Struthio camelus: one gene and its partner. Each later gene encodes a partner of the first gene's protein in a complex. Links are inferred from orthologs where the notes say so. Each region holds a gene or a part of one and is shown on either strand. Other genes may lie near its edges.

Region 1 (7,519 bases):
AAGTATCCTTCACAAGCAGGAAGGGAAAAGAAAAACAAGAGGAATAAAAAAGAAAGGCTTCTTTTCCACAAAGCCCAAAACACTAGGTGTTTCTTTGCACATTTTGGATGCTTAGAAGATTTCATAAACAATAGTTTATGTTACAGAACATAAATGTCAGTACTAATTTCCATTCTATATGTATACAACAGGAATATCAAGACTCAGTAGAGCCGCATGAATCTCCTATTAAATGTACTCTCCCCAAAGCCATATAACATAATGGAATGAACCAATTTTACTCAGAAAAAATAAAAACTAAGGTTCTCCTAACGCAAAAGAAGGTAAAATCCTCTCAATTTTCATTCCCAGCTTCCAATAATAGGTCAAGTTGCTGCAGCTCCCAGAAGACCTTTTGCTAACCCAATTGCCATCAAACCTATCCACCAGTAAAATATCTCTACCATCCTCTGCAGCTACAGATGAGTGAGCCTGAATAGGTGAGAAGTGCCCCTCATCCTGCTGAATAACACACAGCAAAGGCTGTGGCTCAGCTCTGCTGCCTTCCCCCGCACCCCCACCCCCACCAGCTGGCAAACCAGGATACACAGGGGCAGATGTTCTGAGTTTTCTTCCTTGGTTCTCTTACATCTGCTTTTGGAATCGATGGATCTTCTTGGTCTTGGCATTTTTCCTCTTCAAAAAAAAAGTCTTCTAATTGATTTCTGGTCTACTTTCCAAAGCCCTTGACACACCTGGCTGGTAGGAGGCTGACAGGCTTCCTTGTCCTTCAGTGCCCTTTCCTGTTGGGTTGTATGGACCCCTCCATGCTTTCTGCATCAACCAGCTGTTGACCAACAAGTGTACACTTCTGCTCATCTGTATTTTATTTGTGGCTAGTGGGGAAACCAGGGGCATTCACAGGCTCTCAGTAGAGCACAGCAGTTGTCCACTGCTTCTGCAGAGACTATGGCCAGAGGAGTACAGTATTACAATTACGAATGCAAAGAGAGGAGAGAATGAAGTCTGAGAGCTTTGGAGAAGGAAACTGATGCAGAAAATGATAGATGCTGCCTACCAGCAGGTGACATGCTCTGTGCAGCTGTGAAAGGAGTGCAAATAATTTAAAAATAGAACCAGTGACATTCAGTTCCTGAACTTCTTACTTCTGAAGTAAATGCTGCACAAAATCCAAGAACACTTAGTACTTTATCAGGTGTTTATAAGTATACTGAGTACTTCATGGTAAAATGGCTCATCTTAATCCAGGCTCATCTTAATCCAGGCCATTGCAATTTAAATACAGGACAATCTCACAGCCCTGTTAGCTGCATAGTGTTTCTGCCACAACACTGATATGCTGTGCAGCACAAATACTACTGTGTACAGCAGTGGCACATACACAAAGCAGTCAAACCTTAATAACAGAGGCAAATATTAACTTATAATATCTCGAAAGGGAGATTCAAACCAGAAAATTGTGTTTTAGCACAAATCTACAGGGAATCAACATTGTCACCCTTTTTCCCTCTATATTTGGTTCCCTTATCTTTCTAGTTGATACAGCCCATCAGTAAAAGTCAATTAAATCATAATTATATTTTCATATAATCTCATTAATGCATCAGCCATGTGAACATAAAGTAGTTTCAAGATATAGCCCAATAGTAAACCAGATAAAGATATTAAAGTTATATATGTACAGTTAAACAGTTGGAGCCCAGGATGTAGGTGTCAGTAAGAAAACCTGTTTTACAAGATCACCTGTTAATAACCTCCCCTGATTTAAAAAAGAAAGTTTTATTAGGCTTTATTTGCATTTGGAGACAGCACTTTCCACCCAAACCTTATCGCACTTAACTTATGCGTTAGAAACGGTATACCTGTGCTGTCCATTTACATCATTGATTCTGTGTGACATGCGAAATCTGTGGAAGATGATTCCGGTATCTCCAGATATTATTATCAATACAAGTACAGAAAAGCATTTGCATGATTTTCAGCTGATAATGCCTTCTGAGCTGACACTGCTTTTGGAGGCTTATTAACGTTAAGACTGCTTTTGGCAGAGCCGTGAGGTTCAGAACACAGGAGCTGGAGCAGACCTAAGTTTACTCCTACTCCGCTCGCTGAGCCCTTGCTTTTCACTCACTCTACTCGCTCGAGGAAAACCCTGCGCGCTCTGAAGTCTGCCTTCCTTCAGCTGTATGATAGGGCCTGACAGAACATATTACCCTCCCCTGCAAACTCTGTTTTCTCATTCTCCTGCAAACATCGCTCGGCAGAGCAGAGGCTGCTCACTTCGGGTCAGCGTGGCTCGGGACAGCGCTGGCCAGCGTAACCACCGACCACCCTGGGGAGGACGGCGGACCACCGGCTAGAGCAGCAAGGCGCGATTTGCGCCTCGCTTCGGCGGCCAGCCGGCCCCGGGGGGCAGCGAGGCAGGGCTTCAGGGGACGCGCGGCCCCGCACGGAGCCGGCGGCAGCTCCGCCGCCCCCGGCGCTGCAGGCGAACCGGGTAACCCGCCGCGGCGGGTGAAGAGCACACTGCTCAGCACAGCGGAGGGCAGTGTTATGAAATCAGGACAGAGTACAGTAAAACCCCTGAAAACGGGTCAGTGGACTTACGATAAGCTTTCTTCATTTACGTGGGGTGGGAGAAGGGGAAGGGGAGGGGAGGAGGAGAGGAGGTATGCATTAAGATATAACTCCGGACTCACCGATTTTGGCCAAGCTGGCCACAAGTACCCAGAGTGTAATGACATAGGGGTCCTTGACGTGATCCCACTTGAAAGAGACGACGGCGAAGGTCTGAGGCTGGCTGCTATTTATAGGGCTGCCCGAGCTCCGCTGCCCCAGCGCCGCCGGCAGCGCCATCAGCCCCAGAAGCAGCCCCAGGCGGGGCGCCTGCCCCATCTCCCGGCCGCGTAGCGAGAGCCCTTGCAGCGCGGCCCGCGGAAACCCAGCCTCCGTGCTCCGCGGAGCGGCAGCATGCGCGCCTGGACGGGGCGGCCACGGAGGGGCTCTCTGCGCGCCGGCGGATGCTCCGCGGCGGGGCCAGCCGGCCGCCCGCACCTGCCTTTATGCGGCTGCCCCCCCCCGCCCCCGCGAGCGCCGGGGGCGGAGCTTCGCCGCCGCACCCGCGGAGCCGCCGCCGCCGCTGCTGCTGCCGCTGGGCGCCTGGGCAGCGGCGCCGCGCTGCGGGGCGGCGGGGGGGGGGGGCTGCGGCGCTGCCGCCGGCATCGCCCCGGCCAGGGGCGCCCGGCGGCGAGCGGGCAGGGGATCCCACCGTCCCTCAGCCCAACCCTTTCCCCGGTCCACCCGCGGGCACGCTCTCCACCAGGTGCTAGGGCAGCTGGTAGCAGCAGGCAGGGCTTGGCTGCATGCTTAGGTCTGCTTTCGGGGGTTGGTTGCTTGGTTTGGTTTTGCTCAGCTGTGCTGCGTGAGACGCGCTGCCTGCGGCTGCTTCGCCTGCTCTTCTGCGTGCTTACAACGCGGAGTCTTTCGGAGTTTGGCACTTCCCCCCCCCCCCCCCCCCAGCCTTCTTTCTCGCTGACCCCACCTGCCCGCTCTCGCTTGCGCTGCAGGCCGGAGGAGCCGGGGCAATCACCCCCCCACCCCGCGCCGTCCGTGCCCCCGTGCGCCCCCGGCAAGCGCAGCTCCGCGCGCCCTTCCGCAGGCAGCAGCGGCTGCAGCGCCCGGCTGCCCCGGCTGCGCTGCAGCAACCCGGCTGCCACACGTGCGGTCTGCTGCCTATGTGACTCTCGGTGGAAAAATACTACCTGCTCACTTTCCTTACCCGAGAGCTGTTTTTCTGTGGTTTTTTTTTTTTTGAATTTGGTTGTTTTTTTTCTTAGAGTTCAAAAACCGAACCTGATAAACTCTCCTGCAAAATGTTCAGAAGATAAAGAAGCAGTTTTGATTATTTTAATCACCTGGGATAAAAACAAGATACCTTTTCGAAGCCTAGATGAACTATGTTAAAAGCCTGCACAGGCACTCTATAAATCAATTAACTGGTCAATTAAAACAATAAATTTGCATAGAATGTCATTGTTACAAAGAGTGTCCATCATTATCACATTATAATCTCATTTAGCTAAGGAACTCGAGGAGCAAAGTTCTGCTAAGTTAATGCACTGAAGATTCAGTTATAACCTCAAAGCAAGTGCCAGGCTTGCCCTGATGCCTCTCGTCAAACAATCACATACCTTGTGTTTTTTATTTCCTCTATTTCTTCGTTATTTAAGGGAAAGAAAATTATGTGGAGTTTTTTTTAGACTAGGAGCCAGTCTGAAGACGGAATTGGCAATTTATTAGGAAGCAGGATAGACAGCAACACACTCCTTTTACATTTAGGAAATGTTGTAGCCAAATAACGTTTTGGTGCCTAACAACTAAAATACCATCTTTTCTTTTTTCTAGCTTTTTCTAAATGTGAGTTGGATACCTAAATGCCCTTGAGACTTTGGGCTCTAGTTTTTTAAAAGTTTTTGGGAATGGTTCTGGCCAATCATAGAATAACATTTTTGTGCACTGCCATTGTGGAGAAAACTATGGTTAGAAGGAAGTAAGTAGCTGCTGATCATCGCTGTATCCTAAGTTGCTGAGATCTGTGGATAGTAGCAGTTCATCGCTGTCAGCATCAGTTCCGTTTGCTGATATTTGCCAAAAGGGAATTTTAGTGGATACAAGCTATCAGCACATTTCTTAGTATCCCAGTTTATTCCATCACACCACAATCAAATAGCTTGTTTTAGCTGCAGCTAATAAAAGGGCACCACAACTGCTATAGGGTTCCAGCTTCTGTACGTGATCGTTCTCACATCTGGTTCCATCAAAATGATAACTGGGTTAAAAATAAACCTGCCTATTAAAAGTGTTGAAGCTAATCAATGGTAGGACAAATGGGCCAGAGAGCGTGAATACCTGCGGCTACACTAGAAAATATGAGAAACCCTCCAGTGGACCCTTTCCACAGACAGGCGAAGGCTGACACCTCACTTGGAGGACCTACAGCCAAGAGCATGCTTCTGGTTGTCCTTAGGGAGTGCTCCACTCATGGCAGCAGTGGCAATGCACAAACTAAGTTACGTGAAAGCTTTCGGTTTCCTGACCTTGGTGGACTTAAGGCAGTATTAGCAAACAGGAAAAATGTTAGAAATATTATCTTAGCACAGACATGTGCACGAATACCTGTTAAAAGCCCATTCCACTGAATATATATGTGCCCATGTACAGAATGTATAGTTGCACATTAAGAGCAAACCTCTGTTAAAATAATAAGTTTGCATATATATATGTATTCATAGATGTTATATTCTTGAAGGTCCTTTGTGGAAGCCCTCAGGCAGTTTCCCGTAGTTTCATTCTGTATCAGCAACAAATAGAAGGAGCTTCAGTACTATGTTTGCCATAAAAATCTATTACACAACAGTTGATATTTCCTGACTCTCCAAAATAAGAAACAGGAGCTTTGAAATATTACAAAAGGATTATTTCTAGGAATTATAAAATGCTGGCTAGCCCCTGAGTGATTTTTTCTAAATAAAAAATTTCAACATTGTCACTTCTGGGAATATTATGTAAGTAATTGCTTATGGTTTTTGAATGCAATTAGTAGTATCTCATACACCCCTCACATGCTCTGTGTGTTGCAAGAATTAACCCTTGGGGATTATTTTAAATATAATGTCAATAAAAAAGATTAATTTGAATCTTTAAAATTACATTAGTTTTCTCTAGAAAGCATATGCTGAGAATTTCAGTTGTACTAACCACAGTCAGAGGTAGAAATTTGAATGATGACATTTGCAAACAATTGTGTTTAAATGAAGTGAAATTAAGAAATATGTTCCTGTGGAACCCAGAACTTCTGTAAAAGAAAACAAATAAATCCAAGTGAAGAATCTGCAAATGAACTGTGAAAATCTCCTGCCACAATATAAATGACCATCACTCACTACCATCCTTGACTTCCCTCAAGGAAATGTACGGTTTTCATATTAACTCCTACAAAACACGTAAGTAGGTAAGGTAAGATTTTGAAAGGAATATAGTCCTGGACAATATATTTATGTCCTAATTCCACCAACAGTTAAATAGTTAAAAAGAACACTAATTCTTGTGAATGGCATTGAACCAACATAGCTGTACTACGTCGTGAAAATCAATGTAATGTGGGTTATATGCAGATGAATGCAGAGCTTTATGAATTTATAGTTAAACCTACTTGATGCAACAACTGACATGGTGCCAGTTTCTCTCCTGGAGAAATGAGCGCAGCTGTACCAGTTTGTGCAACAAAGAGTCGGACAAATGTTGCTGAGCTGAGTAGCGTTGCAGAATATTATGTTACAGCATGATGAATATGAACCTCTCAAATGGCTATGAGAAGCAATGTACTATTACAACCCACGCACATTGCCGCAAGTTTAAGCGGGCAAGAAGAAGGCTGGGGTGGCGGTGGGGGGCGCGTGAGTCAGATGGAGAGACGGGTGGATTCCTTTGGCTGGAAAGTGGTATGGCAGAGGAAACTTGCTTGATTTTTTTTTTTTTTTTATGCAAAGCCTCGTTTCAAGACCTGACTAGTTGAATTTTCAAGGACAGAAAATAGAGGGCATTTTTAACCAGATCACCCATTTTTAGCACCATGTCTTTTTGACACCAGATACCTAATACATTTTATCATCCAACGTTCAGAAAAAACATGCTTTTATAAAATGTCATTTGCATAAAAACTCCTCCTTATTTAAATTCCTATTTGAATGACCATTTTTCTATTGTGGGTTAGAATTTTCCTGGGCTTGGTAGTGGTCAAATGCAGAACAAAGCATAATCCTTAAATCCAGACTTTAAGACTGCAGAGTTTTCATCTCTGCCAATCTGCGTCTTCCACTCTCCTCCCTTCGCTCTCATATTGCACCCTTCGCACTCCTCCCTTTTTTGGCATCCCATTATCTGTTCAGTTTCTGCGTACTGCTGGCCTCTGCCCTCCTTTCTTTCCGTAAATCTTTTCTGCCAGTGCTCACCAATAATCCCAAATTCTGAGACCTAAAGAACCCTCGACGGCTACTTGCGTGTGAACTTTCATCCCAGTCCTTAAATCTCCCACGTGCCTCACTCTCTGTCCGTCCAAATTCAGCTTTGTCATGTTTCCCCACATATCCTTTTTTCCAGCTGCTCACATCAGCGAGACCAAAACAAACGCATATACCAGTGACAAGATGCAGCTCGCTAGTAGTTTGCTTAGTCCTAAATGAGTATGTATTTGCTGGTCTTTAAAAAGGAATTGTTATTTTACTCTATGTCAAAAACTCGAGGGGGGGGGGGAGTGGAGTGTGACAGAAGCCGCAACCACAGATTTCAGACATTAAGTTGGTAAAAAAGGAAATAAAAGTGCATCTCTCTGCACTGTTTCAGTATTCAGCCTTCTGTAGCTGAACCTGGGAGGGAAGGCAAGACAGAGGTGAGTTGCTTAAAGAAGAAACAAGCACATGTTAAATAACAAAAGCAGCGAAATAGACTAGTTTCAATGTCT
Region 2 (7,588 bases), on another chromosome or scaffold:
CAGCAGGAACCAGACAACCAAATCTGTGGAAGCACCTTCAGAGTGTAACAGCCAGCACAGGACCAAAGAGCAATAGCCTAAATGAGCTTTGGGCTATCTGTCATGCTACATACATGTGAGGAACAAATAAAGGATTAAATCACAACAGAAGAACACTGACTGACTGAAGTACTTTAACTTCTTGAAAAGATAAGCTACACTGCTCAGCCACTTGTATAGTTGATGAAAACTACAGGATAAACATTCTGGAAAGCAGACGAGTTTCTTTCTGACGCTGCGGACGTGTCCACAGCCTAGTGAGCTCTGGGCCATCTGCGACCATTGCTCTTTCAGAGCAAAGCCTGCCCTGATAACCGGCAAGCCCTAGGAGTATGAAGGGATAACAGCCTCTGGGAAAGGTTTTGTCTGACAAAGACAAACTATATTGCTTGACTAATAGCCACGTTACCTGAAAGACAGTTTTTTAAGCTATTCCAGGCTCTCAGCTGGTTCTCTAAGGAAATGCAAGAACTCCATGGGCCACAATATGCCGATCTGCCTGTATCTGCTTCTGTGTTCCCTTCAAGAGCTGAAGTACACCTGCAGAAGCAAGGGGGAGACCACACACAGTACAGAAGGCCACACATAACACCTCATTTTGCCAGCATGAATGTTCTAATAAATACTTCATCCAGCACCATCTACCTGCTGTAAGACAACAAACTGCTGTATTTGAAGCAACCTCCCAGTCCACTACACATGTTTCTTAAAGGGGATCTTGAAGCTACCCAACCAGAAGTTTATTTTGCCCCGGGCATTTATTTCGGATAAAATTTCAGTTTTATTCCTGAAAAAAGCAGAAAGTGGGAGCCCAACCTGAAAAAATATTTGCTGCAAAGGTCAGTAATGAAGTCTGAGAGGAGAAAGAGCTCAAAGCACAAACAACTTCAAGAATGAGGTACCTGACCTGAGCCCAAACACCATATAATTTAAATATTTTTAAATCTTCATGTTGAATCAAAAACATTAGATAAATTATTTAAATATTATGATTAGGAGGGTGTTTTTACAAAAGTCCATAAATACATAAAACAGTTATATCAACTGAAACTTTCCCATTATCAAATGGAAGTTATTAAGTAAGTACTGAAACAGTGGCATATCACAATCAAAAAGATAAAACAGTTAGTATCAACCATTCACCTTACAGAAACACGCCCCATATAAGATGCTTCATTCTTACAACAGAAGACAGTCTGATTAAAGCATACTTTATGAGGAAGGATGCCCTATTAGTATATATTCCTTTATACTGATATAAAAACATCCCATTATTATACAGATCCAGCCATGTATGTCCCTATGTCAATACAGGGAAACATAAATAACTTTCCAACCAGCCCTTAGATATAGGTGAAGAATCTTGTATCTAACATTTTATATTTAATGGATTAACACAGAAATAAATCTCCTAGAAAAATTAGCATATTTAAGTGTATGTATTCACACGTAAGGAGAGAGACAGCAGCAGGGGAGAAGACTGCTGCTTTCAACAAATATACGTGCTGTCTAACCGTATTTTAAAGAACTTTCAGTAGACGCCACGTCATTCCTACTTCTTTTAACAGGAAAAGTAAACTAATGAAATGTGGTCTTGTGAAAAGACTCAACGCACAGCCATCTAACAGCAGGGGTCTGCAGGAGTTCAAAGCAGAGAAACATACTTTTACCTGCTTCCCAAAATTACGTTTATATACATTTGAAAGCATCTGCTTAAACCTAACCCGCCTGTGCAACTGTTCAGGAACTGTTCAGGCACAGAAGAAACGCTCATGGGAAATTCTCCTTGAGACAACAAGCTGACTGGAAAAAAAAAAAAAAAAGGAAAAAAACAACCTCAGCAAGTTATTCTACCTAGGAAACTAAGGGGCAGTGGGCAGAGATAAGGAGTAGTAATAGCTTGAAAGAATCTTTTAAAACAGCAGAGGCTTTCCGCTCATCACCTTCTCACTTCTTTAGAGCACAAAAACACAATCTTGGCATAGCTGAGTCAGAACATTGATAAGATACAAAATGCAGGTGCTGGCTGGCCTAGCAAGTGCAGTCCCACCCTTTCTCCTATTGTGAAGGAAATAAACAAATAAAACATTTCAACATACTCGGAGAGTGTTGCTGTTCCCTTCTCTGAACCTGGTTCATCCAGCAATTCCACTGTAATAGAAATAAATAGTTTATACTCTAGCACTAACAAGCAACTTCCTAACACTCATTTTCCCCCAAAACGAAGAGTCCAAACTGATACTAACCAGCAGACTTGCACAAAAGAAAATGGACTCAAAACATAGCTTAAATAAAAATAATTCACTCTGATGTACAATTCTGTAAAAATTAACTTATATCACTAGCCTAGATGAGATCTATTTCAGAACTGTAGCATTTAAGCAAAACTAATTCATGGTTTACCATCCTTTCAAAGACACAAAGTCAATATCAAACTACAACTTATTACTTTACAGACTATTACTACAAAACAGCTACATGGAAAAAGATAGAATGGACATAGTTAAGCACTTAAGTCTGATAAAGACTTGTAAAGAGCCTTCTAGCTCTTTCCCACCACTACTTTGCTCTTTGTCCCCAAAGCAAAGCTTAGCACCTGCAGCAGAAACGCACAGGACCATCATGCACTACAAACATTTTTCTTAAATAATTCCGTATTTTTACCACTAATGAATCACAGAAAGAGGGTCAGATAAAACAGAGCACTTAACAGAGATGCTTTTCATCTCTGCAAGTGAATGCAAAAAAACAAGTCAATCAGAATCCCTGTTTTCAGGGATTTAACTTCCCAGGGGAGTCCATCACTGAGTCTTCCATATATAAGAACATAGACATTGAATGTAACCTGCCTTTAAGAAGCACACAGGATGCATGCATATCTCAACTGGCCTTACTGGACTTTATTCATTATTTAACTCAAAAGCTTTAAGGCAGTACAGTCACGAGACCTTCATAAGGCATGGAATTACTATTATTTTATAGAAGATAACTGGGGAACAGAGAAGTTCCGCGACTTTGACAATGTTCTCATTCCTAGGGATTTTGGGGAAAAGTTGTGCAACTGAAGAATTCAGCAGAGCGTCCACAATTAGATTAAAAAGCGCTAAGAGCAGCCATGATCCCTGTGCCTTAATATGCACTAAGAAAGGCTTCACCATTGACTATTTCAGGGCCAAAAAACATCTTTGCTCCCGGGGCACTTCTGCCAGTGTCCAAGTTCTTCACTGAAATGAAAAAGAAAAACAATCCATCATGTTCCACTGTTAGGAATAAAAGCTTATCCTTTGCAAAACAAAACAAGACCTTAGGGCTGATTAGCTCTACTAATTCCACCTGAAAAAAAAAAAAAAGCAACAAGTCAGGTCTCAATAACAAGTTTTTTACTCAACAGAAGAGTGCTTCCACAAAGTGATTGTGTACACCTAGTAGGACCAAGTTATGATCTTTTACACCCACATGATCTAAACAACTGAGAGCATAATTCGAGGCACCTTTTACCTTAAGTAGATGCTTTATTTATCCCAGTGACTGGGCTTGGCTCTCAGAAAGCACATACCGATGCTAGGCTGTGTACAACTAGCAGCAGGCACGCTCTGCGTGGGAGCCTGCACACACTAGCTCTAAATGGTTTCTGCATGGCATTAGCATGGTTATTTTTAGACTTTTGAAAGTTCAGCCACTTAGTAACTAGAGTGCCACAGACCCTAGTTAAGATATAATTTTTTTTAAGGCTGAGCAAGATGCCAGTACACCACTGCCCTTCCCCCATAAGGCTGCCTCCACGCAGATTTAGCTTACTCGCAAGGGTGGGGGGAAAAAAACGAGGGGCGGTTACAGTGCTTTTTGAACATGGAGCTCAGACTTTTACGCGCAGCACTCTGGAAGGTGACGAGCAACTCGCAGCCTCAGCCAACCCCACGAGGGGCGGGGGGCTGCTAACGGCCCAACGGCCGCAGGGGCGCCCCCGCCCCGCCCCGGCCGGGCCGGGCGCGCCGGCGGCGCTGCGGGGCTGCCTGCCTGCCGGCCCGGCCCCGACCTGTCCGCAGGAGCAGGCTCCGGTCGGGGTTCACGTGCTGCAGCACCCCTTGGAAAACGCCACATTTTAAGGTGATTTTGACGGTTCTCCCCAGGATGGCACCGAAGTGCTCGCTGCTGAGGGCCATGCGGCAGCCGGCGGCGGTGGCAGGCGGCGGCAGCACGGACGGGGTCCCCCGGCGCGGCCAGCCGGGCTCCTCACGGGGCACCTACGGCACGGAGCAAGGAACGGGGCTGAAGGCCTGGGCCGGCCGCGGCAGCGCGCAGCGCCCCCACAGAGCCGAGAGGCGGCGGGCGCTCGCCTCACCGCCGCGGAGAGCCGAGCTGCGGCCCCGCCCCGCGGGGCGGAGCCACCATAGCCCCTACCCAATCGCCGGGGGAGGGCCGAGCGCGCGCAGCTTACCGCCATGACGTTCCGGAGGAGGGATTGGGGGGGGGATAAGGAATTACAGCTGCTTCGCGCAGTGCACGCCGGGAGCAGCAGGCGGCCTGCGGCTCAGCTTTAGCAGCCGCCCGCGATGACGTCAGAGGCGGGCGCGTGCCCGCTCGTTGGCGGGGCGTCGCTCTGCGCGTGCGCCCGCGGGTTGGCCCACGGGGGCGGGGCGGGGGCGGGCTGGCCTTTCGCTGAACCGCCGCTGCTGCTGACGGGTGCGTGTCGTTGTCCGGTTCGGCCCGGTACGGCGCGGAGCGGAGCGGAGCAGAGCGGAGCGCGGCTCGGCGGCCCTGCCCGTGCGGCGGCGATGGGGTCTCGGGCGTCCACGCTGCTGCGGGACGAGGAGATCGAGGAGATCAAGAAGGAGACGGGCTGTGAGCGTGGGGCCGAGCGGGCGGGTGTCCGGAGCGGGGCAGCGGCCCGTCCCTCCGGCCGGGAAGCGTCTCGGCCGGCTGCCCCGCCGTCTGCGTCGCGCCCGGGCAGGGGGCACACCCTGGGGCGGGGGGGAGGCGAGCGCGGCCCCTGCGCTGCCGGTGGGGCAGTGCCCGGTCGCACCAGGCCCCGGGCTGGCTGCGGGGAGGTACCTCTCGGTCGGCGAGCGCCCCGGGGCCTCGCGGGGCGGAGAGGGGCTGTACTGCGGCGGCGGGAGCGGGCGAAAGGCGGGGGGAAGCAATGCACTTGGTACCTGCCGTGATCTTTGCTCTGTTGCTTTGGGTTTTGAAGAGTTGCCTGTGTTTCTGGCTCTAGAGTTTCTCTCAAGCAGCTGTTTCAGCCTAATGAGCCGCTCTGGAGAAGCTCTCATTGTATAGTACGCTTTTTCCCCAAGTGCTATTTGCGAAATGGGCTATCGCTAAAGATGCCTTAAGGATACTCCGAATGAATGCTTGAGCGACATTTAAAACGTATAGGAAATAATGTAACCTGTAAGAGTTGGGTATGGTTAATCTGGAAAAAAAAAAAAGTGAAAATTCCTGTCTTAATCAAGAAATAGGACAGCATTATCCTAACTGGATAATGCTATGTAGCTAGTTTATCCTGTAGTGTTATATTGAGTTTTCTCTAAATATAAAGACAAGGTAAAACTTAGGACTTTGTTTTGTTAATTTGGCTGATTACAATGATTGCCAATTTGAGAATGATAGTGAATGATGGCATATGTAGGACACCCTTAGCAGGAAAGAAGAGGGTGTGGCATCCTAGGTGTCACCTTGCTTTTTTTTTCCTTGGGTGTGTGTGGTGTTTTTTTTTTTTCCCCGCCTTCCTGTACGGAAACAAGGTCTTCCTAGATCACGCTTATTTCCTACTTGCACTTGCTGATCTGCCCTTGATACCTGAAAACACTTTACCTCTTCAGTGTAAATGTTGTCACGTATTCATTTTAGATGATAGTTTATCTGTGCCAGGAAAACAAATGAATCCAGAGAGGGAGTACAAGAAAACTGAGACGGTACTGGCCAGTATGACAGGCAGCTGAGTTAGCATACTTTCCATGATCTTTTTTCTGTCGATCAAGGGAACTTCTACAGCATCGTTATGATAAACAAGTAGGAGTTTAAGAGTCTGCTTGTCCAGCAAGAAAGTACTCTGTGATCCTTTTAAAAAATAAAGATAAAAGTAAAGGTAGCCTCCTACTAAAGAGGTTTTAAACAAACTCCAGATCCGGAATACTCTTCCAAAAGACTTAACTTTTTTGTTTCCTCTGCTCCAGTATTTGCTTTATCAGTGGTGTTTCATTCCTAGATTTTTAGATGATTGATGGTTAAATAAATATGATTAGGGTAACTATGTAGATGATCTAAGTGATAAGCCCACCTGGAGCCAGTAGAGATCCTGTTGTAGTTAGCCCCTAAAAGCTTTTTTTATATGTTTTTAAAGTGTGAAACTTAAAGACTGTGGCCAGCAGGTGTAAGCTTTGTGACCTGAATTTGGCTAATCTGCCTTTTTTTTTTTTTTTTTTTTACTATTCACATTTATGTGCAGTGTTGTAAAATACAGCATTATTAATCAAGCATTGCTAATCTTCTTATGCCTGTTTGTAAGTTGTCATAGAGTATCTGTTTTGGGGCTTTATCAGTCTTTCTCTTTTTTTCCCTGCATGTAACCATATGATTCTCCTCTGCCTTTTGTAGTTCTTTAGATTAGGCTTTAGGTAGCACAGTCATAACCTTTGCATAGGTGCAAATATCTGTGCAAGGTGCAAGATGGGGAAAAACCAGACTGGATTATTTGGAACAGAGTTCACTGGAAGAATGCTAAGCCAGTGTCACTGAGTAGAGTATCCTACAATTTGTTAGAAACTCGATACTGATGGTACTTCACCTACTGAAGAGTTTGAGAAAGGGACTTAATGAAAGGAAAACTATTTGGCAGGACTGAATGTCCATCTTGAACTAATGTTCTGGTAAGCACTTCTAAGGATTCTTTCTTTTCTGGGGGATTCCTTACTGTGAAACAACTTTTCCAGTTCATTTTGGGTAAGTGCAAATGCATGAACAGAACACTTAACCTATTGGAAGGTGTTGAACTATGGAAGTATATAACTCCTCTCTTCCTTAATTTTTAAATAGCACAAAACTGAACAGCTAATGACACTGATAGGAGTGATAAATCATATGTTAATGGTCTTTAGCTGAGCAGATTAAAAAAAAATCTTTGAAGGGAATTTGTAGCAGTCTTTCAGAAGCCATACGCTGACGCTTAGAAATATCTTGGATGAAATCTAAGTTGTGATTCAGGTTCTATATTGCTTGTCTTTTTAATTGTGGTGGAAAAAGACACTTTTTAGCATATTAAGTTTAGAAACATGTATAAAAGTAATGCTTCCGAGAACTGACAAGTATGTATTTGCTTGTAAAGCCTTTGCTTAGTGGCAGATAATCTGCAGTAGGTACTCAGTAACGGGAGTTGAGCATCAAGTTGACAGTCCTAAATATTACATGATGTTTTGCAGAATTTGTTTGCTGTGCATATAAACATTCTGAAATTAGAGTTTGAAAAAACATTCAAGTAGTCCTAATTGCTCTTATATTTTAGTAACCACTAAAAGAAGTCGATGAAAGTTCCTAGATGTTACTTGTCAGC

Evidence for each region.
Region 2: the proteins of SLC9A3 (region 1) and CHP1 are in contact, whole or in part, in a cryo-EM structure (PDB 7X2U), measured with the Homo sapiens proteins. The link is inferred for Struthio camelus from reciprocal best matches to the Homo sapiens genes SLC9A3 and CHP1. Residues at the interface, in NP_004165.2 of Homo sapiens: Tyr396, Arg397, Met398, Gln400, Glu402, Arg474, Leu475, Asn476, Glu477, Leu479, His480, Gly481, Arg482, Ala483, Phe484, Asp485, His486, Ile487, Leu488, Ser489, Ala490, Ile491, Glu492, Asp493, Ile494, Ser495, Gly496, Gln497, Asn501, Arg504; in NP_009167.1 of Homo sapiens: Arg30, Leu31, Arg34, Leu38, Lys40, Glu49, Phe51, Gln52, Arg53, Ile54, Glu56, Leu57, Ala58, Ile59, Asn60, Pro61, Leu62, Asp64, Ile66, Phe70, Phe83, Leu87, Phe90, Leu115, Phe117, Ala118, Leu121, Tyr122, Leu135, Leu139.

What each region holds. Positions count from the first base shown.
Region 1 is NC_090943.1:78,604,628-78,612,146, reverse strand, and holds the start of SLC9A3 (sodium/hydrogen exchanger 3), read right to left. Parts: upstream 3,032-7,519; 5' UTR 2,896-3,031; coding exon 2,700-2,895; intron 1-2,699. UniProt on the Homo sapiens protein: Plasma membrane Na(+)/H(+) antiporter. Exchanges intracellular H(+) ions for extracellular Na(+) in 1:1 stoichiometry, playing a key role in salt and fluid absorption and pH homeostasis.
Region 2 is NC_090946.1:41,177,474-41,185,061, forward strand, and holds the start of CHP1 (calcineurin B homologous protein 1), read left to right. Parts: upstream 1-4,577; 5' UTR 4,578-4,592; coding exon 4,593-4,881; intron 4,882-7,588. Other genes in the region: piRNA biogenesis protein EXD1, read right to left, coding at 449-579, 2,139-2,190, 3,195-3,263, 4,076-4,283, 4,478-4,483. UniProt on the Homo sapiens protein: Calcium-binding protein involved in different processes such as regulation of vesicular trafficking, plasma membrane Na(+)/H(+) exchanger and gene transcription. Involved in the constitutive exocytic membrane traffic.